Drosophila melanogaster: one gene and its partners. The protein of the gene in region 4 interacts with the protein of the main gene of each other region in a pairwise test. Each region holds a gene or a part of one and is shown on either strand. Other genes may lie near its edges.

The links.
Region 1: the proteins of ERR (region 4) and Rpt5 interact in a two-hybrid assay, tested with the Drosophila melanogaster proteins (one large-scale study listed by BioGRID).
Region 2: the proteins of ERR (region 4) and Elba3 interact in a two-hybrid assay, tested with the Drosophila melanogaster proteins (one large-scale study listed by BioGRID).
Region 3: the proteins of ERR (region 4) and Dlish interact in a two-hybrid assay, tested with the Drosophila melanogaster proteins (one large-scale study listed by BioGRID).

Annotation. Positions count from the first base shown.
Region 1 is NT_033777.3:23,750,684-23,755,123, reverse strand, and holds Rpt5 (regulatory particle triple-A ATPase 5), read right to left. Parts: upstream 2,249-4,440; 5' UTR 2,111-2,248; coding exon 1,901-2,110; intron 1,837-1,900; coding exon 1,416-1,836; intron 1,359-1,415; coding exon 703-1,358; 3' UTR 501-702; downstream 1-500. Other genes in the region: Hrd3 (HMG-coA reductase degradation 3), read left to right, coding at 1-318; RanBP3 (Ran binding protein 3), read left to right, coding at 2,405-2,420, 2,549-3,882.
Region 2 is NT_033779.5:4,684,623-4,690,328, reverse strand, and holds Elba3 (early boundary activity 3), read right to left. Parts: upstream 2,819-5,706; 5' UTR 2,681-2,818; coding exon 1,541-2,680; 3' UTR 1,373-1,540; downstream 1-1,372. Other genes in the region: CG3251 (uncharacterized protein), read left to right, coding at 1-1,269; CG11929 (uncharacterized protein), read right to left, coding at 3,224-5,706. UniProt on the Drosophila melanogaster protein: The heterotrimeric Elba complex is required for chromatin domain boundary function during early embryogenesis.
Region 3 is NT_033778.4:17,720,569-17,726,617, reverse strand, and holds Dlish (dachs ligand with SH3s), read right to left. Parts: upstream 3,310-6,049; 5' UTR 3,179-3,309; coding exon 3,133-3,178; intron 2,847-3,132; coding exon 2,723-2,846; intron 2,663-2,722; coding exon 1,765-2,662; 3' UTR 1,562-1,764; downstream 1-1,561. Other genes in the region: Snx16 (sorting nexin 16), read left to right, coding at 1-919, 980-1,116, 1,176-1,236; CG10934 (uncharacterized protein), read right to left, coding at 3,616-4,200. UniProt on the Drosophila melanogaster protein: Required for the apical cell cortex localization, total cellular level and full activity of dachs.
Region 4 is NT_037436.4:8,180,907-8,187,516, reverse strand, and holds ERR (estrogen-related receptor), read left to right. Parts: upstream 1-1,846; 5' UTR 1,847-1,927; coding exon 1,928-1,950; intron 1,951-2,295; exon of another isoform or gene 2,296-2,474; coding exon 2,475-3,033; exon of another isoform or gene 3,034-3,089; coding exon 3,090-3,998; 3' UTR 3,999-4,156; downstream 4,157-6,610. Other genes in the region: Atg18a (Autophagy-related 18a), read right to left, coding at 1-11; Uxs (UDP-xylose synthase), read right to left, coding at 4,797-5,297, 5,585-5,766, 5,834-6,476.

The DNA of each region.
Region 1 (4,440 bases), on a different chromosome or scaffold from region 4:
ATCATCATGTACATGAGGCGTCCATTTCAGCAGCCGGATCAGCCGGCACAGCAGCCAGCTGCAGATGACATTGCTGCTGCGCCAGTTAACTTGGCGCCGGTTGGAGCGGAAGCAGCACCTGTAGCCGCAGTGGTCGAAGGTGTGGGCGTCACACCACCTGCCGCCGCAGTTTCATCTCACGATGCTGTGGCCGCGTCCTCCTCTACGGAAACCTCATCAACCACTGCCACGTCCCTTGTCGATGCAGCGTCACAAGGGGGAAGTGGCACGACATCTGCGGCGCCGGATGGCGCTAACACACTCGATCCCACTGGTTAGTCTTAGTAACTTGGTAAATCATCCCTCTAGGTTAATTAGTGTGCGTGTAAATATTTATCATCTAATTTCGCCCGATGTAATATTTTTTATTAATTCTAAAACCGACCTTTTTAGATATTTAAAAAATATCGTACTCAGAATGTAAATGTTGTACTGATAAACCAATGAATCGCTCGACATTTGATATATATTTTTGTTTATTTTAAAAAGGTTGGGTATTGATTTCAGTACGTCTCCCATTCTAGTTACTTTTAAGAGCCGTTGCGATGTTATTTTAAAGGCGATCTTCAAGGGGCAACTCAGATCGAAACTGAAAAATTTTACATTTCCATGGTTTATTTTAATGGGAGCTGACAATGTGAAGTTAAACTGCAAATTTTTAGTCTAAGCGTAGTAGTTAAGATTAGCCTTCTTCTTCGCCTGCACTTCCATGATGGCGTCCATGAAGTCTTCGTGCGTAACCGAATTGGCGGAGCGACGCAGTGCGATCATACCAGCTTCCACACAGACGGCTTTGCACTGGGCGCCGTTGAAGTCATCCGTGGATCGGGACAATTCCTCGAAATTCACATCATTGCTAACGTTCATTTTACGCGAGTGAATCTGCATAATACGGGCACGGGCTTCCTCGTTGGGATGTGGGAACTCGATCTTACGATCCAGACGACCAGAGCGCAGCAGAGCAGGATCCAGAATGTCTACGCGATTGGTGGCCGCAATCACCTTAATATCTGCAGTGGAACTGAAGCCATCGAGCTGATTAAGAAGCTCCAACATAGTTCGCTGGACCTCACGGTCACCGGCCTTCTCCGAATCGAAACGCTTGGTGCCAATGGCGTCCAACTCGTCAATGAAGATAATGGCAGGCGCCTTCTCCTTGGCCAAGGCGAAGGCATCGCGCACCAGCTTGGCACCATCACCGATGAACATTTGCACCAACTGGGGACCTGCCAGCTTGAGGAAGGTGGACTTTGTCTGAGCGGCGCAGGCACGGGCCAGCAATGTTTTGCCAGTTCCAGGGGGGCCGTACAAAAGGACACCTGTAAATGGCAAGGATTAATATGGTTGTGTGACATTTGTTCGAGTGAGATACCCACCTTTGGGTGGGTGAATGCCAAGGTTTTTGAACTTCTCCTTGTGCGTCATGGGCAGCACCACTGCCTCGATGAGCTCCTGTATCTGCTTGTCCAAACCTCCAATGTCGGAGTACTGCTCTGTAGGTCGCTCGTCCACTTCCATGGCTTTTACGCGGGCATCATACTCTGCCGGCAGGGTTTCCAGGATCAAATAGGAGTCTTTGTTGACTCCGACCAGATCACCTGGCTTCAGTTTCTCGGCATCAACCAGGCCGATGACGGGCAGGAAATACGCCTGTCGAGTGGATGTTTTGATGACGGCGCACTTGCCCTTTCGCTGGTTGTCCAGAACGGTGACGGAGCCGTCGTCCTCCTCCTCCTGTGGATCCACATCCAGCAGCTCTATTACATTGGACACCAGGTAGGGCAGTGTCTTGTTGACCTAATGGGGAAGTACTTAACAAATGAGGCTATTTGGCAGGGTGGCGTTTCATTGTCATCCCTACCTTGATCTTTTCGGTGTTGTCCTTGATCTTCTCATTTTGCGCCTGAATCTCGTGCGTTATGCGTATCACTTCGCTCTTCATGATCTTGATCTCGTTGTCCATCAGGCGAGTCCTGCTCACAATTTCATCGGTGGACATACGCATCACCTCCTCGCCCAGGGACTCCTCCCCGTCCTCCCAGATTGACTTATCCTCCAGAGTCTGAGCCATGTCTAATACGATTGTTGATTAGCCGTTGCTGAATGTAATTCTTTGTTAAAATGCTATTATTGCCGATCTTTTTGGGCAAACACTCTGTCGATGACTTGTAAATTTCTTGTTTTTCAGCGGCAAGTAAGCAACACTGAAAAAGTCAGTGTTGACAACAGAGCGCCATCGCCGGCGCTTATCGATAGTGACAGCGATAACACAGCGATAACAATACGGCAGGCTTTACACAGAACGCTCTATTCTGTAAAAGATTTGGCAATTTATATTTTAAAATTGCAAGTAGACTAGTTTGCAATGTCTGAAAATAATGGTAAGCGTAGCAAAACAAGCTGTAATGCTTGCTATAACTTAAAGTTGCCAAATATCGCGAATCTTGTGCCCTTGAAGAGTTCGCAACAAACTGACAAACGAGTCTTGTTTTTTCCCCCTTGTTTCCAGAAGCGTCAGTCGAAACTAACTGTTTCCGAGGTGGCTTCACCTTGAAGGCTTCTCGCCTGGGCGGTGCTGTCCTGCGCCCAGCAGTCTTGGCAAACAGCAGCGGCTCCAACAATAGTTCCACATCCCCAAGTGCAGGTGAAGACAGCGCCCTGCTGAATAATCCGTTTCTGCGCGAGTCCAAGGACGACGACGATGACGAGGAGGTGGTGGCCACCGGATCTGCGGCAGCCGAGTCCACTGGCGACAAGGAGGACGACGATGTCGACGAGCGGCCGGATCCGCTGACCAAGCTGCGTAGCAATGGCATTGAGCGCTCCAGCATGTTTGCAGCAGCCAAGAACAACATGCCAAATGTTCAGTCCAGCGGGTTCGTCTTCGGCCAGAATGTGCATGAACGTGTGGTGGCCCCCAATGCTGAACAGGTCACCGCTGAGCCGGATGCAGATACGGCAGCCAGCTCGGTATCAGCCCAGGAGGCTGCCTCCTCCTCCACCGCTGCTACGTCGTCCTCGGCGCCATTGCTCTTCTCAAGCGTCATTCAGAACGCTGCCCAGACCACAGAGACCAGCGAGGCCGCTGCCTCCTCATCCATTTGCAGCAGCAGCAGCAACAACAAGGAGTCCGCCGAGGCCAAGAGCCTGACGGATGTGGCCCGGGAGTATGAGGAGAGCCGCGCTCAGAAACGCAAATACGAGGAGGTCGAGACCTTCACCGGCGAGGAGGACGAGATCAACATTATCGACGTGAGCTGCAAGCTATTCGCCTTTCTTAACAGCAACTGGGAGGAGCGTGGTCGCGGCAGTCTGCGCTTAAACGACGCCAAGGACTTAAGGGGCGACTCGCGCGTGGTGTTCCGCACTTCTGGCAATCTGCGCCTGCTTCTCAACACCAAAGTCTGGGCCGCCATGGTGGCGGAGCGAGCCAGCCAAAAGTCCCTACGACTAACGGCCATCGACAACTCTGGCGTTGTCAAGATCTTCCTGGCCATGGGCCGACCGGCGGACATTGCCCAGCTACACAAGGCGCTCAGCGAACGGATTGCCAAGCGCAAGGTCTCACATCCCGAGGAGTGTTCCGTAGAGGAAGCGAAAAACGGCGTCGCCTCTGAGGCAGCGGCTAGCTTGCAACCGGAGTCGACGACTCACGACGACGAGGATGAGGATGCTGCTCCCGGACCGTCTGGTGCCATTTCAGCAGAGGCAGACAGCTACGGCCCGAGTCCCAAGAAGGTGATCGTCCAGCCCGATAGCAGCGCCGATGTCCCTGTGCCGCCCGTTGAGGAGGGCGACGAGGATGCTGAGGCCGAGGCCAAGGAGTCAACCGATCAGAATTAACCGCCGCTCGCTCTTGTTCTTTTTATACGATTCATACATGGAGAAATAAAACACTCACAACAAACACTAATTAATAAAGCGCGCCGTGAATTATTATAAATTAATTATAATAATTTATTAATAATTATTATTATTAAAAATAAAATAAATGAAGTGCTGATTTGTAAACCCGTGAGCAGCGTCGACAAAAGACATTTATCCATTACGCTTTGTGTTTATAATTTTTTGTTAAAAATGAAAACCGAAATTAAGATATCGATATCGATCGTACACGCTCTAATTAAAAGTTTTAATTTAATCACTATACAAACCCTATGTACTACTTTTCGCTTAGGAAATAATTTTTACAAGTTCAGCGCTTGCACTAGTCCTGGTCATAGCTCCACTGACTGGCATCTGGTGTGGATTCCAGCGGATCATCACTCAGTATTCAGTTATGTATTGGTAGAAAAAAATAGCGTTACGACGAAAAGTACAATCTAAGTGGAAGTAGCAGCAGGAGTGGATATCGAATATCAACCCATCCTATGCCCTCAGCATTGGCTTGGAGCGATTTGC
Region 2 (5,706 bases), on a different chromosome or scaffold from region 4:
TTCCGGCGATTTGTGAGTGGAGACTTCGACGAGTACTTGTGGCATTTGGGCAAGACCAAGACGGCGGGCACCATACTGGAACTGGGTGCCATGTGCCACCTGTACCGCCGCAATGTCATCATCTACGAACCCTTCGATATGGGCCGGATGGTCACCTACAACAAGGACTACAAGGAGATCCTACGTATCTTTATGAACAGCATGGGGCATTTTGAAACCGTGCTGACTATGCAGGACGTCGATATGGCCGCCGTTTGCCAGTCTGTGTCCTTCAAGATGCTTTACAAGCACCTGTTCCGCCTGCCAGATGTTGATCTCGCTGTGGAATGGATGCTGTATCCAGATACCTTCAAAATGGGCACTGAATATGAGTTCGACTCGCGCGGCCGCGCCATCCGTTTGCTGTGCCGCAACGGACGAAGCTTCAAGCTGGATCGCCCTGAGAGCACCATTTGCTTGCTTGAAAACTCCCAGATGTGCCCGTTTCATAATCGCAGGCTAGCAATGGGCGGACAGTTTGCCGACTTTTCCTGCATGCGGATCCTTCTGGAGGAGAACAACATTCCCTTCTCCTATTTGGTAGCCAAGTCAATGGATCCCTGTAGGTATCGTAACGTGGAGCTGACTAGCGCGATTGAAGCTCGTCGTGAAGCGTATGAATTTGGTATTTACATAGGCGACTATAACTTCAAGGTGGGAGCTAAGTGCCAGGTGCAGTTGGATACCAATAGACGCGATCTGCTCAGCGCTTGTTACATCCAATCGATCGATAAGAAGAAGTCCGTTTGTAAAGTGTTTATCGAGGAGCAGGGAAAACTGGTTGATGTGCCCTCCGATAATCTACATCCACTGCCACCAGATGAATTCAAGGCCTGGGACTTTGCTCGCAAGCGGCCCCAACGTCTCCACAATAGCCAAATGGGGAGACAGTCGGTACAAGGTGATCAGCAAGGATTCGTCCCTGACCCGATGCCTGGTACGGCTCCCTCGATGCCACCACCACCGGTGGCCGATCCTCGTCCGGTTAACGTAACAGCACAGCAGCCACCTGTTTTCGGGCCCTCTAGATGGATGGAACCCACCCGGCCGTTGATGCCTAATCCTTTGATGATACATCAGACAGGATCGTTCGTTTTCGTCCAACAACCACGAGTTGGTCCGCCGTCGGTCATGATGCACGTTTTGATAATTGTACACAACGCACCATACATGCTTGCGTTTGATCATGCCCCCCACCCGCCTGCACCCCAGTGCACTGCCCCATTTTAATATATTTTTTTCTTGTTTTTACAAATATGTCAATTTAAATATTTATATTTAACATGTTTAACATGTCGAAAATCAGAATAAAACGTGAAAAACAGAAATATTTATACGTTTATCATTTGCAGATCTTTATATATTTATTCAAATTACCTAAACATATAGTTTACAATTAGTATTTAATTCTAGCCTAATAATATTTACCATTTAAGTTTTAAACTTTCAACGAAACTTAGTAGACTATATATGTATAAAGAAAATGTGATGTGTTTGCCAACTAATGAAGTTCGTCTCCGGATGTGACCTCCACTACCGATCGCACCTCTCCGGACAAACGACTCTGCAGATTCTTGTTGATATTGTCCACCATGTCGAAGGCATCTATGATCATTTGGGCCTCGCCCTGCGCCTTTTCGCTCATCTGTTCCAGACTTTTTCGCAACTCCCTGTGCTCTCCAGTAGTGTCCCGCTGCTCCGCCTTCTGATACAAGCTGGTTCGCGAGAAGAGGGCGGTGGACGTCATGTGATCGGGGTGCTTCTCCAGTTCTTCGGGCAGTGGAAAGTCAATATCAAAAGAGAATCGTTGCAACTCCTCATACTTCGCGTCCTGGACCTCTTTGTCCTGGCCATAGCTGATGACCACCGCCTGGAGGACGATGTCGCTACCAGGAAGTTGCATGTAGGCAATAACGTCCTTAAAGAGATTCTCTTTCCTCCACACGGTTTGTCTGTACTGCACCACCTGGTATACCACCATCTCCGGTTCGGGACTGTATTGCACCAGCATCCAAGTGTCATCATTCATGGCCTCCGGTTCAGCTTCCAAATTATCATCGAAGGCGAGATCAAAGCTTCGCGCTTTCAGGTGCAGTAGTATCTTTTCCATATAATCACGACTTTCGTAGGCATATAGGATGTGGGCAATGCAGCCGGGAGCCAACCTCACCAGAGGATTACCCTTCAGCTCGGGCTTGGTGCTCAGCAGCATTACATTGTTTGGAGAAACAAGTTTCTGGATGAGGCGCTCGCCCGCCTTTTCATTCTCGGTGTACTGGACCAACAGTTGCTGGCCGCCGGCATCTTCCCTCTCCTCCTTGCTCATGGACAGCAATGCTGCATCCACCAGGCGCCTCTCATCCGCTGCCAGTATGAGTTTCGCCTCCAGCACCATTCCATTGACCCGGAATTCTACGAATCGGGTCATGTATTTGTCTGAAACATCTGACTCTAGGAGTTCCATCGAATGGAGAACGCAGAGACGGCGTCGACCATTTGGCTTCCCATCCTTCATCAAGCCGTCATCGACTTCGGCCAGGAACCAGGATAACCGAGTCGCTGCCAATGGTCCATTGGCGCTGACAACGGCTCCACTGTTCGCGGAGTCATCCAATCCACTGTCGTTGCTGATGTTGCTCATGATGGCGGATGTGTTTTAAATATGTTCGGAAAAGATTTGAACAAAGTTTTAATTGATATAATTGGCTTGGCTTTGGTTCTTTTCTACGCGTCTTGTTTGAATGTCTTGATAGGTGAAGAGTTCTTGGCAAACTGATGAACTCCTCCTCGCTGCAAGCTATTTTATAGATGTAAATGGGTTTAGTTAAATGGTTCTACCTGCCGTAAACTCCATACTTTTATCTAGGCTTTCTAATGTCTAACATCTGTCAGTTCGAAGGGATTAAAACTTGGTCCGGCTCATACTGGGATCTAATGTTCTAATTGTGTATTACCTGCGAAGGACGCTGATTGAGCGGATTTTCCCAATGTGCAGCTGCTTAGTGGCAATAAATGCGAATTGCAAGTTTGCGACATTTCTACATAGGAAAATAATTTAATAAAATAAGACAATATATTTTCATAAAAAAAAATTCTAGAAAAATGTTGTTACAAAGTCTTAAGGGAAATTTAAATGGTATGAAAGCTAAAGTGCATTATGGCTATCGAACCCATATGATGAATCCTATTCATCATCTTGAACGTCATTACACTGGCCAGAAATAATGCGTAGGAATAAACTGGATGTCTTGGCCACATCGCTCAAATCCTTAGAAGAAAAATTGTCAACCAAGCTACTAGTGACCGCTCCTCGGCCAGTTAGTTCTCGATTTCCCATTTTGAGGGCATTGGTCACGGAGAAGAAGCGGGACGCTTGTCCAGCGGGCAGACCGAGCACACGAGTGCAAAATTCGACGACCCTTTCCTTGTCGGCACTTCCATCTGGTGCAATCTCACCGCCGCACTGCCGACGGCAAAGTTCGTCCAGTGGACAGTCCCTGGGATCGTACTGCCTGTTTTTGTCCAGCTCACAGAACGTGGGAATGTCCTCGAATAATCCTATCCCGATAGCTTGGTTGATGGCCCTCCCACTTCCCAGAATGCAGCCTAGGTCCTTGCCGGTTGCCATCTCACGCACCTTGATGTGGTAGACATTATCCTCTTGACGCAGTATGGTAAGGACCACGTCATCGAAGGGCCGCTGCCCAATTAGCCGAAATATTTCATCCATCAAGGAATCCAGAATGGGCAGACTGCCATCGCCACAGTATTGACAACCACGTGGCGGGTTATTCATCCGCTGGGTGTTCCTAAAAATTGCACTTGGTTTAGATTCTCCTTCTAGTTGACAGGAACCCCTACGTCCGTTCGCATCCAATTCCATATCCGACGTCTTAAGTTCCGATTTCAGTGCAGTGGATTTAATATTATGAGGAGTTTTCGAACAATTGAAGCTGGTCATCGGATTGGCACCCAAAATGGTTTTCTTCTCTGATATGCTCACTTTTTTGGGTCTGTCCTCCTCGAGGCTGTTGGATCTCGTAAACATTTTTACGAATTCCGGCAGTAAGCGATCGAATGAGTAGGACTCTGATTGGGCATTCTGCGCCTGATTATTTTCACACGACTTGGATTTTGTGAAATGACTAATAAGCTGTTCAATAAAGGATTTGTATAATTCCTTCTCTACACTTTTATTGGATTGTTCGGAACTCTTTGCCTCCAAGCAAGATGTGGAGGAAACCTTTGATTTGGGTTTTTTAACAATTTCACCCAGTAAGTTTTCAACCCCATGTTCAGTATCATTTTGTTTCGTGGGATTTGCAGAGAAAGCTGAAGTATTTCTAGACTTGTCGGAAAGTGTTTCTTCGCTTTTTGTTTTAGCAAAAACCCGATTAAATTGTTCTAGAAAATTTTCGGTATCTTTTAAGCATTGTTTAGCAGTTGGGAATTGGTCACCTTTCAGATGCATTTCATATCCATTCGCCTTACAACATCTCCGATTGTCTTTGCTAGAACTTCCATTACATTCTCTACTGCATTGTAGACCAGTTGAGTTTTCCGAGTTTATTGGGGTATCTGTGGTGCGTTGAGAATTATTTGATTTCTGCTTTTCTTGAGCAGTTTCAGGCTTCAAAAATATTTGAATAAATTCTTTGGATAGCGTTTTGCACTCGCAATTAGCTGTATCTTTTTTTTGTGTAGCCTGATCAACATTTTCAGGTTTTCTTGGCAATTTTCGCTCCTCGGAACGAGCTGTATATATTTTCTGGGATGACTGGTTAAAAGGTTCAGGTTTTATTGGCAACTTTTGTTCCTCGGAACGAGCTGTATATTTCTTCTGGGATGACTGGTTAAAAGGTTCAGGTTGTATTGGCAACTTTTGTTCCTCGGAACGAGCTGTATATTTTTTCTGGGATGACTGGTTAAAACCTTCCGGTTTTATTGGCAATTTGCGTTCCTCGTGTATATCGTTTATCTGTGATGCCTGATCAGATGTTTCTAGTTTTTTTGGCAATTCACATGCTTCCGGTTTACCTTGAAATATGATCCTACAATCAGAGGGTTTGCATTCCTGGACCTTCCACGATTTCACAGAGCCCTGTAGATCCCTTAGAAAAAGCTCCTGTCTCTTCATTATGGCTTCCAGTTTCTGAACTCTATCGAGGATTTTTGAACACGTTGAAGGATCTGAAGGCTGATCGTCTGAACTATTTGATTGTGTCCCAAAATGGTTTTCATATTGTGTTTCTTTATCTTCTTTTCTGGTAGTGACAGATACGTTCTCCATTCTACTTTGATGGATATTGGCTGTAAAATCGGAAGATATAAGAGCGCCGCCTTTGACTACGATTAATGGGCGCTTGAAAAAACATTTGCGCAATGAAGTATTCGATTTTCTAGGTCTTTTTTCTTCATGCTCAGTCTTCGAATATTTTTTCAACGGAAAACGGACAGTTTTTGGTTCTTCATAGTCCGTTTGCGTTTGTATGCTGTTAAGGTTTTTGGACGATACTGGAATCGATTGAGTCTCTACATCATGCATATTAAGCATCGATTGGGTGGATGCATCTTGGCCACAATCGAAATCCTCATTGGGATCCGTTTGGAAGACGGTTTGAGTGCCCATGTCCTCGGTGGAAGCTATGGTTTGGGTTGATTCCGAGG
Region 3 (6,049 bases), on a different chromosome or scaffold from region 4:
GGCCAGCACAGCAATAACGTCACCGAAGAAATCGTTGCTCAAAACTGGGAACTCCGTCTGCGGATTGGACAAACGGAGTCAGTTCCGGGAGCAGAAGCTACTCGGTCGCAAGTGCCACTCGAGTCCTGACCTACGACAAATCGGAAAATACCAAAACAACAGCCTGTTGCGCAGCAAATCGGAGGGGGATGTTAGTTTAATCCTGGCCAGTAACTCCGGTGCTCCATTGACGGTGGCAAACGCCAAGTCAGAGGTTTGCCTGCAAAGGATTAGCTCTCACAGTTACGAACAATCTCCGAGAACGCCGATAAACAAAAGCGAAATGCTCGGCGGTGCACGTTCCCATCGCGACCTGACGCAGTCGTCCTATGGCAACCAGGCAGGTGGACATTCCGTGGATTTGGAATCCAGGTCTAGAACTCCTCGGCGGATGAGCGAGTGCAGCTTGGGCTACAGCCAATCCAGCTCCCGGCACACTGGCTCCAACTCTATGTTCGCCAGCCAGATGACTCTCTCCTCGGGATCGGTGGTGCCGCCCGTGGACCCCAACGCTGTGCTAAGGGTGCCCATTATTGGTTACGAGGTTATGGAGGAACGTGCGCGTTTCACTGCCTACAAGCTGCGAGTCGAGAATCCGGAGACCAACGACTATTGGCTTGTTATGCGACGCTACACCGACTTCGTGCGGCTCAATAGCAAGCTAAAGCAGGCTTTTCCCAACCTTACGCTCATGCTGCCCCGGAAGAAGCTTTTCGGCGATAACTTCAATGCCGTCTTTCTCGACAATCGGGTGCAAGGTCTGCAGATCTTCGTCAACTCAGTGATGGCCAAGGAGGAGCTGCGAAAGTGCAAACTGGTTCGGGAGTTCTTCTGCCTGGACGAGCCGCCTTCGTACTCTGAATCCATGGAGGAGTGTCGTGTAGGATGATTTCTTTTTCATGTATTTATCAAATCTATATAAGATTTCATTTACTTCTAGGCAATTTTCGAAGCTCAGGAGGAGACAATTGAGCATCTGAAGCTGCAGATTCGAAATAAAAACGATCTCATTCTCAGTTTGCAGCAGAAACTGCGCGAGGAGATGAACGAGAAGGAGCAGCTGAGAGAAGCTATGAAGTAGGATAACAATTTCTTTTACAAATGCAAAAATCTCATTAGCCAATCTCTCTCTACAGAAATATGGAGCTTAATTGCTCGCACTGCTCCTCAGCTAGCGACAGTTTGGGAATAAAGTAGACCTTCGCCAATCGGAGGTGATAACCAAAATCCAGTTGGACGTGCGTGTGCGTACAACATTATGCTGAGCATAACTCTACGCAACTGCGCCGCTTGGATGCAAATCCAATACAATAATACAAACCAAGTGCATATCGAGGGGTTGGCCCCTACAGTGCTTTAGTATTCATATCTAGACCTAGATGCTAGCAAAGTGCTGCCCACGCTGGTACTATATGGAATACGATAGTAGATATTTTTGATATTCGTTTACGAGGCACTTACAGTTAAGAATGAAATCACTAGACTAAGTGTATACGATATGTTATGCAAACTCACATACAAAATAAATCTAAGGCACAATTTATTACTCAATGAAAATGGCATTTATGAGTTGAAAATTAATTTAGTGTTCAAGATAAAAATATCCAAGCCACAAAGAAACGCTTTTCGAAATGCAATTCGACTGTGTTTGGAAGACTTACGAATATTACGCTTTAGTGTTAGTCGAAGTGATAATTAAAACGATTATGGTATTGAATCTATTTCTTAAAGGCTGGTCATCGCGGGTGGTCGGGCATAGGCTTTCGGGATGAATCCATATTTGCGGGTTTTCGGAGCATAAGCCCAAAGCCAGCCATCAACAGTCTGATTGGTTAAGTCTGCGTAAATCCAATCTCCTCTCCGCACAGAAAGGTACAGATCGTCTGGAGCTTGCGCTTTGTAATCATACAGCATCACCAGCTCCGTGCCATGGTAGCGTAGATCATCTGTTCCCAAGCCCAATTGAGGCTGCTGCTGTTGCTGGCTCTGCTGACCTTGTTGACCCTGCTGCAAAATGGTCTCCATGGCATTTAAAGTGGCTTTCTGTTGCTGCAAAACTCGTACACTGTCTGCAGGATAAATAAAGCTGGCTGGCACAAATCCTTCCTGGCCATCACTGCGCATTATCCAAAACCAATCGGGATCCTCGCGATTTAGCACGGTAACAAATTCACCCCGTTCCACAGACAAATCATTCTCGTCCCTGGCTATAAAGGTGTACAAGACGATACAGCGCCCGGAGGGTTCCTTCACGAAAGGAGTACACTCTGGCTCCACCAGCAGGGTGTTCTCTATGCTGTTGGCGGAGCCAGGATTCAAGGTTTCATCGCAAAGAACATCCAGCTTGTTATCCGTGCCCAAAAGTGGTATATTCTCTTCGATCGGCTGCTCTGGACACTGTTCCCTTGGCAGTTTCTTCTTAACAGCCAAATCCGCCAGTTGCGTGTTGCAGGGAGCACAATAAGAGAAGGGTATGAAACCCTCCTGCCTAGAGTCCTGACCAATCACGTAGACCCAATCGTTCTCTCTGTACAAGATATTAACCAGCTGTCCACGCTTCACCTCTAGTTCATCATCCACGCAAGGAGTAAAGTCGTGCAGCACAACCATCTTGGAATCAGGACTAAAATAGAATTAATATTGTACAGACTATTTAAACTGATAATGGATGGGATCGACTTACCTTAGACCGTGTTCCTTTTCAATGCCCACTCTTACAAGTGTTTCAATGCTGGAGGAACCAGTTATGCGGCCCATGCCCAATACACCCACAGCTGGTAAGTCCCTCTCAATGCTGGCATTTGTAGCTGAAAAGGGAGTATTTTGAAAATGCTTATTTAGGTACAATATATGTCGTATTTAATTAAATTTAAAATAAAATGTATATCTTATGCATTCAATCATAATATAGTTTCAAGAAAAAAAACTTGAATACAAATATTTAATTCAAAAAGAATTCTTGTACATTGATATACAAAATAAATGCACCAATAAACAGATTTAAACAATTTCAATTTTTTTAAGTTCCTACAACAAGTTCGTGATTGAAGTCTTTTGTTTCCGTGCTGCTTCTTCCGCTTTCTATGAACACACCTTTCTTCTTGTCGCGCCTCATGCGCACGGGGCAAAGAAATGCCATCTCTTCCCCCCACTCGGAATTAAACCCCCTTCAACCGAAAAACAACAAAATTTCGGCTAATTGCTTAATTTCTTTATTGTTTAGATCCGACACAACGCTCTTCTTCTTCTCAATATTCTCTGGTGTTAGAGGTGGAATTCATACGATTGGCTGATCTTGATGATGTTGTCCGTTAATCGATTGTCGCGAGGCGCCAAAATTTGAAAATAAGTTGGTTTTGTGTGTACGTGTTGGCTCTGCTCTTTCAAGCATGCAAATTTCTAGTAAAGCGTAAACTGCTCTTGAGCAGCACCTTCGATTTGGGTGCAATGCACCCGGGCCGCCGTTTACCTTGATAATTTATTACGCGTGTTTTGTGGGCTAATTCAATGATCGAAAGCATAGAAAAACTGTGTTTAGATTGGGCGATTTGATTGATCCAGTTTCTGCGACAGCTTCTATTTTTTGCGACCACGCACGGTGCTCTTCTTGGGTGTTGATCGCTGGTTGCTCTTTCGGGTAGGACGCCGCGGACCATCGCCTAAGTTCTCATCTGTCTCATAGTATCTGTACGTCCGGCGATTTGGTAGGGCGTAGTCCAGGGCATGAGTGACCATTATCGCCTTGTAGGTGCACGCCACGGACATGATAAGCTGCCCCAAATAGTAGACATCTTGGCGCAAAAACATAAAGACTTTTGGATAGGCTTCAAAAAGGTACATGCCGGTACGAGTATTAACTGCATTGTCCCGCAGTTTATTCATATGGCTGAGCAACTGGAGCCACACAAGCACCACGACCTGGGTGCACATATAGAAGACCAACAGTTCCAGCAGCAAAAGCCAAAGCTTCTGCAGCGGTGCGCAATTCATTACCCTCAGATGATGGAGAAAAAGCACGGCGGTCAGGACGAACAGCGCCGACGGAAGATCGGGAATATGCTCCATGGGCAGCACATTGCATCCGGCGATGTATAGACACACGCATCCCACGCTGCCAGCCACCAGCTCCGTGACTTCGTACATTCCCTGTACAACCACCATTTTAGTCGTATACAAAATGTGAACGAATGATAGATTTGAGTTAGCTCCAGGCGCTATGAATTGTGTTTGGAAGGTGTTACTTTACTAGATAGTAATGGCTGTATATCCAAAGTCTACTGAGCTCTATTTAAAACTTTATATTGTATTATAGTGATGTAACTAAAAGTCCAAATATATGTGAATTTTGTAATGTAATAGAACATAATAGGTTAGAGATATCTGGATTTTTTAAGCAATACTTTTAGTAGTATAAACATAATATATACATTTAATTCAGAGTGCATTTAAAACCCTCTGCCCCACTGAGACCTCGTCATTCTTAGCGAGCGTCACTTGCGCTATTGGACAGCATTGAAAAAAGAGGGGCCAATGCACTATTTTGGTGCCAAGGATAAAACTTTCGCATGCAATTTTCGATTATAATTCAGCGAGAGAATTTCGATGGAAAGGGCAAGGAAACAAAGAGTCTCAGCAAGAGAGGATGGGTCCAAAGAGAGAAAGTGTCCAAACTGACCTACACTTCGTCGTATCCCCATGTGCACATACCCCAAACTAAATTGCGCATTAAGCATCTCGAACATTATCCCACCAGCAGCAGTGGCGTGGCAGCATCAGCAGCAGGTGCCACACCCCCAAAAGACCCCCTTCAACTTGACTTTTGACTACTACGCAGTTGATTCCACATCCGCATCACATCATCCATCCCACAGCCCACATCGCACATCCCAGAAACCCATCCCCATGCCCTATCCCAAGTTTTATTAGAGAGAGCTGTCTGCGTTGGGCTTTAATCGATAGAGAGGATTCTGCGCAGTCCTCCACTCCTCGGATGCCATTCACAAAAAGGGGCGGCCAGTGGGCGGGGCAGGAGGTGGTTGGGTGGGCGAATCGAGTGGGTGCTCCTCGCCCAGCACACTCATCATGGCTGTTGTGTCTGCGGGTAATTGTTGCTCGGACCTCTGATGGCCAAAAAATGAGACTAGACAGCGGGCCAAATTAAGAGGAATGAGGCGGAAAATGGGGTAGAATGCCAGCTCCGGGGCGGAAAAAGTGGCTCACTGGCTTTGTGGGTCAGCTATTTTCGGTTGTCACGCATATTTTAATAAAATATATGCCCGGAAGTAAATTCAAATTAACATGCAACAGTCGCCCTTGCATAAATTGTAGCATAAATTTTTGTTGCAAATGACCTTGAATGTTTCGCACCCCTGAATGATGCAACAAAAGTGGTGAAATGCAAACTCCACGACCTTGTGGATGATTTATTTCATAAACGTACATATGTGCATACATATGTCGATTATTATCCTCGCATTTAGCACATCCGTTGAATTTCACCAAAGGACTCTTTATCATTCAAAAAATTAACCCTCTGGAATTTCCACTTATTAAAATAATCACTTTTATTTTCCACATAAATTTAACGCAAATTAAAAAGGGAAGCAAAGCATTTGGAGTCTCATGATTTAGTTAATACGTTTATTTAATAACTAATACTGTATAGTTTTTCTTAAGATTGCACTTTCAATCGGCCAAGGAATTTGCTATTTCATCACACCATTTCCATTTCAAAAATTGTGTAATGTAGTTGGCGAGAAAAGTGAAAAGGGGGGTTGGAAAAATGCAGGGGCGGTGGATAATAGAGAAATCAACCATATTTTGGCTCGAAAATACTAAATGCACGTATTTCGATTTCGCTAAAAATGTTCAGCCATTGGCAAATATCCAAAATGTATACAGATTTTAAAGAGGGATTATTATGTGCATACAGAGGTGCATATGTATATATGTACATACGTATATATATATTAGCTCAAGCACTTGGCCTGGTCAAGGAATGGATAAGTGA
Region 4 (6,610 bases):
AGGCTCATCATGGTTTCTGTGTGGGAGGGGCTGGGGTCCTGCAACAGATTGGGCGTAAATCGTTAGCTATATCGGACTGCTCGGCCAGGGAAATGTGTTGATCTCGCGATTTACCGATGGCGCATTACGGAATAGCGAATGGCGCAAACAAAGCGTGGGCCAAAGCAGTAAATATATGTTAATAAATACAATAACAAACTTTGCACTAGTGTGTGTACACTTTTTGGGGCTGCTGATAAAAGCAACAACAACAAACAAAACACACACACACACCCAAACGCTTGCGAAATGTACATACGTGACTGAGAATCGTTTATTTGTACCTATTTGTATAGCTAACACCTCTGCCTCGGCCCTATCAATATACGCAGGACACCGCTGTTGACTAGTGGTTGGCTGCAAGGCGTTTATTAAACTGAATCCACGTAATGTTTAATGATATTTGGATTTCTTGTCGCGCAATTGTTTTTGCTCTGTTTTGCACACACACCAGCACCCACACAAAGGCAAGTGGGACAGCAACAGAGCAGAGCGAACCAGGGAGTGCTAATCGAGAGCAGAGTTGCATGCGCCAGTGCTGGAAAGGGCTGCGTCTGCACCTGAGCTGCATACATATTGAAAATCATTCACTTGCATTCAGGATAAGCATCTACCACGAAACTAATAAAACTAAATGCCATTGTTAGTTATTTTAGAGTAAAACATTATGCAAACGATTATATACATTACTATAAGTTTTATTTAAAAAATGAAATAAGTCTGTAAAGTAATTGCGGCAGTGTTTTAGTTCCGAAAAGCGAACCACCGAATCGTGAGCACGAGCCAGCATAGTCTGCATCCCTGGATAGGTGTTCAGTGTTTGCCAGCCCTGGTCAGGTCTGGTTCACCAAAAAAGAAAATAAAATTACATTTCAATCTTTCCAATATGCAAATATCTGCACGAAAACCAGCGAGAACAGCATGCTCACAATAAAGAGCCCCCAAACAATGTGACTCGTATCCGCGCAGAGTGACGTTTCGTGCCTTGCCCGAGTGCCAAATCCAAATCCCAATCCAGGCGCACAAAATCGATGCAGATGCTGTCTGCATTCTCATAGAAAGTGCAACTGAATAACCGATGGTCGCCAAAAGCCACGATGTCCAGTAATAATGACCAGTGAATAAACAATTATGACTCGAGCATCGAAAAATGCTGAGGAACGAATACATAAGCAATAACAAGAAGGTGCTCAACTCGGACCAAAACAAGTACTACATGCTAACGGTCGAGGAGGCCGATATGTATTGACGTTGTTACAGTGGAGCTGATTACACAAAAGATCCTCAGAACGATTTTATGTAAGTATGTAAACAGAGGCGGACAGGCCCACCTTGGGCCGCAATCACAATCTTCTGGCTTCGGCTTCCCTTGGGCTGATAAGAGCAGAGTGCTTAGTGCTGCTTATCTTTCATCTGCAACCTGGCCGATGTCGTCCGCCGTCTACTTACTACACCACTACTGCCCCCCATTGTCTTTGCTAGCGCGCGTTTTATACCCTGACACAGAGTTGACTGGGTGCAGCAACACACTAATTGTAGGAGCTTTACGATAGTAGGGATATATGACCATTTCCTGGCAGACAGATTATGTATATTGTATATGACTAGTCTAAATATAGACTCGTGTTCAGTGCCTAGCTGATAATGAGGTCAGAGTGCTGGCATTCCAATTGGTTGCCAATTGTTAGGGTATTAAAGCTTCGCTTCCACCACTGTCCCTTTTCGATTTTATTTTACTTCGCTTTTGCCTAATCAATGTCAGCACTGTGCGTCGTGATTTGTAGTACCTTCAGCTGGAAGGTACTCCACGCACAGTGCTGTTATCGCACTCACGGCGCGCGGTTCGGATTTCAGTTCATTTCTGTCCCGTACTTTTCCACGACCACCGATGAAGTTCTACGCGGGAGAAGGGTAAGCTATAGAGCTTGCATACGTTCACTTGTGAATCCGAGGATCGCATTCGAATTGCACTGGACGGACCGCCGTTTGTTTTGGTTTTTGCGCGGCTTAATTACAATTACGTTTTGCATTCATTAAGAATTCCGTGACCAGGTTTCATGCGACTAGCCCAGCACTGTGGGCTCCAATGGCACTACTCATTCATAAGTCCAGATAACAGCGTTGGAATTGTAAAGTACCCGTTTTTGGGTTCTATGTTTACCACTGTGCAGCGCGTTCTATTTGACATTAAACTAAAGCGATCTTTATCGCGGTGATTTGGCGAAATTGAACGTTTTTCCCACATTTCAACTCTTTACTTGTTCATTTCTCTCCGCATTTTGGGTTGATCCTCATATCGTACCATATCGTTTATCCTAAACCTTGTATCTCGAGTCCTCTATCTAATCAATCATTTTCTTGAAGTTCAAATCAAAGGCTTTAACTTGTTGAAACATATTTCTTATTTTATCCGCAACTCTTTTTTTCTCACCCAGCCAAGGCACGAACATGTCCGACGGCGTCAGCATCTTGCACATCAAACAGGAGGTGGACACTCCATCGGCGTCCTGCTTTAGTCCCAGCTCCAAGTCAACGGCCACGCAGAGTGGCACAAACGGCCTGAAATCCTCGCCCTCGGTTTCGCCGGAAAGGCAGCTCTGCAGCTCGACGACCTCTCTATCCTGCGATTTGCACAATGTATCCTTAAGCAATGATGGCGATAGTCTGAAAGGAAGTGGTACAAGTGGCGGCAATGGCGGAGGAGGAGGTGGTGGTACGAGTGGTGGAAATGCGACCAATGCGAGTGCCGGAGCTGGATCGGGATCCGTCAGGGACGAGCTCCGCCGATTGTGTTTGGTTTGTGGCGATGTGGCCAGTGGATTCCACTATGGTGTGGCGAGTTGTGAGGCTTGCAAAGCGTTCTTTAAACGCACCATCCAAGGCAACATCGAGTACACGTGTCCGGCGAACAACGAGTGTGAGATTAACAAGCGGAGACGCAAGGCCTGCCAAGCGTGTCGCTTCCAGAAATGTCTACTAATGGGCATGCTCAAGGTAATTTCATAGTCCCGAGTTAAAGTTCCTAAACTCTAATCGCTTTAACTTTTCAGGAGGGTGTGCGCTTGGATCGAGTTCGTGGAGGACGGCAGAAGTACCGAAGGAATCCTGTATCAAACTCTTACCAGACTATGCAGCTGCTATACCAATCCAACACCACCTCGCTGTGCGATGTCAAGATACTGGAGGTGCTCAATTCATATGAGCCGGATGCCTTGAGCGTCCAAACGCCGCCGCCGCAAGTCCACACGACTAGCATAACTAATGATGAGGCCTCATCCTCCTCGGGCAGCATAAAACTGGAGTCCAGCGTTGTTACGCCCAATGGGACTTGCATTTTCCAAAACAACAACAACAATGATCCCAATGAGATACTAAGCGTCCTTAGTGATATTTACGACAAGGAATTGGTCAGCGTCATTGGCTGGGCCAAGCAGATACCTGGCTTTATAGATCTGCCACTTAACGACCAGATGAAGCTTCTCCAGGTGTCGTGGGCAGAGATCCTGACGCTCCAGCTGACCTTCCGGTCCCTACCGTTCAATGGCAAGTTATGCTTCGCCACGGATGTCTGGATGGATGAACATTTGGCCAAGGAGTGCGGTTACACGGAGTTCTACTACCACTGCGTCCAGATCGCACAGCGCATGGAAAGAATATCGCCACGAAGGGAGGAGTACTACTTGCTAAAGGCGCTCCTGCTGGCCAACTGCGACATTCTGCTGGATGATCAGAGTTCCCTGCGCGCATTTCGTGATACGATTCTTAATTCTCTAAACGATGTGGTCTACTTGCTGCGTCATTCGTCGGCCGTGTCGCATCAGCAACAATTGCTGCTTTTGCTGCCTTCGCTGCGGCAGGCGGATGATATCCTGCGAAGATTTTGGCGTGGAATTGCACGCGATGAAGTCATTACCATGAAGAAACTGTTCCTCGAGATGCTCGAGCCGCTGGCCAGGTGAAAAGGATTATGCGGGCGCCCAAACTAGTTGATCTAGCTGATAAGCAAAGGTGCAAATATAGTCTTAGGTATATATGGATGTATACTAGAGTAGATTAAGCGTAGGATAAGCCATGTATATAAATAGTAAAATACTTGTCGGGTAAGATTAGTTCGCAGAAAAAATCTCTTTTAATGGACTACCAACTACAGCAACTGGAAAACCCTACTTATCTTCTAGAATCGGGGTGTGCTTACACTGGTTAAAGGCGCATATAGGTGTTATGTGTCTAAAGTTGTGAGTCACAGATCTTCAATAATTTGTTCAATTCTCACTGGTTCTGATATATGTATATGCCGCAACCTTCTGATGTAACGTATGAATTTGTGGGCACTTTTAAAATACGATAGTGGTTCTACAATACAATGGATTATACTGTTTCTAAGTGTCATGTAACCCAGTGATTCTGTGTCTATGTGGTACACATGCGGTCAAAAGAATAGCAATGTCGTCCGTGAATAATAAACCGTTTGTAACTGTTGTTTCCATACTCCCTAAGTTCTGTATTCTTTGGGGATTTTCTTTTCCTAAACAAATTCAAATTAGTTTTCTAGAATTCAGTGCATTTGATCGCATTTATACATCACTATTTCCTAATCCATACATAGGCTGATATATCGCAAAACTTCAAAAAATTAACCATGACAAAGGTATTCTGTGGTCCTTGAGGGCTTACAATTAGTGCTAACGATGGTCATATTTACATTTGCAGACTAGAGACGTTCCATCATCACCAATTAGAGCTAAGCCCAATTAATTCTACGGTGTATGTGTATCAAAGTACTTGTTGGAGCTTTCCTGAAAGCGATCGCTACGCGCCAATTCGTTGCGGAAGTAGGAGATGGTCCGCTGAAGTCCAGTCTCTAGGGGAACCTTTGGCTCCCAATGGAGCAACTGGCGGGCTCGAGTTATGTCCGGTTTTCTGCGCTGCGGATCATCTTCCATGGCCTTCGATTGCTTTATCACACTGGGCCCGCCGACCAGTTTCTTGATGATCTCGGCAAATTCGCCGATTGTCTGCTCCACAGGATTGCCTAAATTCACCGGCTGTGTGTAGTTGGATGCCATTAGGGCTATCATTCCGTCCACCAGATCCGAAACATACTGAAAGGAGCGCGTTTGTTTGCCATTTCCATACACCGTAATGGTTTCATTCCTCAGCGCCTGAAGTATAAAGTTTGACACCACTCGTCCATCGTTCATATGCATTCTCGGTCCATAAGTGTTAAAGATGCGCGCCACTCGGACTTGCACTTTCTCCTGTCGATACAGATACATTTAAAGAGCAATTAATTTGACTCCCAGATTGCTGGCCAAGATCAAAAAATGTGGTCAGTGCTCGCGCTTGGAAATCTTATCTCGCGTCAGCCAACCGAGCGGAACATCAATTAATAGCATTCCAATTGAGATCATTTAATGCTCAACTAGCGATCGAAACAGGAAAAATCTGCCACATTTCTGGATCTCAGCTAGTTTAATGTTTTTTTTTCGATCTGGCTTAGGAATGTGGTTATCCAAAAAAGTATATATATTGCTAAAGGTATTACCTGTTTGGCATACGCATAGCTCAGCGTCTCGGAGACACGCTTTCCCTCGTCATAACAGGCTCTCGGTCCAATAGGGTTTACATGTCCCCAGTATGTTTCTGGCTGCGGATGCACTGTGGGATCGCCGTACACTTCCGAAGTGCTAGCTATCAAAACCTTGGCCATCACGCGCTTGGCCAGACCTTTCAAAAAAGATATACTCGTTAGGTGTAATCCTTATTTTCTTTGATTGATATTATAAATATTTACCCAGTACATTGATCGTGCCCATGGTGTTGGTCTTGATGGTCTTCACCGGATTGTACATGTAATGCGGTGGCGAGGCTGGCGATGCCAAGTGGTAGATCTCATCGATCTCGATGAAAAGCGGATTCACTATGTCGTGGTGGATGAGCTCGAAGTTCTCGTGCCCCAGCCAGTGCTCGACATTTCGCTTGCGTCCCGTAAAGAAATTGTCCACCACGATGACCTCGTGCCCCTGGACCATCAGATCGTCGACCAAGTGGGAGCCCACGAAGCCAGCTCCTCCGGTAATTAGTATGCGTTTGCGATTCTTATAGTTCAGGTATTTAACCTTCGGATACTTGCGCGGTGTGCTGGTCTGGAGGCTACGAACTTGTTCCTCCAATCTGGCCAAATTCTCCCTTGTGCGCTGGAGTTCGGCCTTTTGTTCTCGAATAAGAGAGCTCTGCTCCTCGTACGCCATCTGAAGGCTCCTTTGTAGCGGACTTTCCGTGGGCGGCCATTTGGCCTGAACCTCCTCGACGCCGGGAACGGAAACGGCGACCTTTCCGCTTGGGCAGAAGCTGGCCATTCGGTAAAGGTAGACCAGGAGCAGGAGGAGCAGCGAGATGGCTGCAACGATCTTCAGACGCTTTTTGGTGGCAGTCATCGTCGGTTATGGGTTGTGTACTGCAGGGTTCCAGTGCTTATCAGCAACTGATATCGCCACATTGCATTCTCGTTCGGCTTTAGAAACTATATAAACAATACAATTGCGTTATCAGGAGGTGCCAGAGTGGCCAG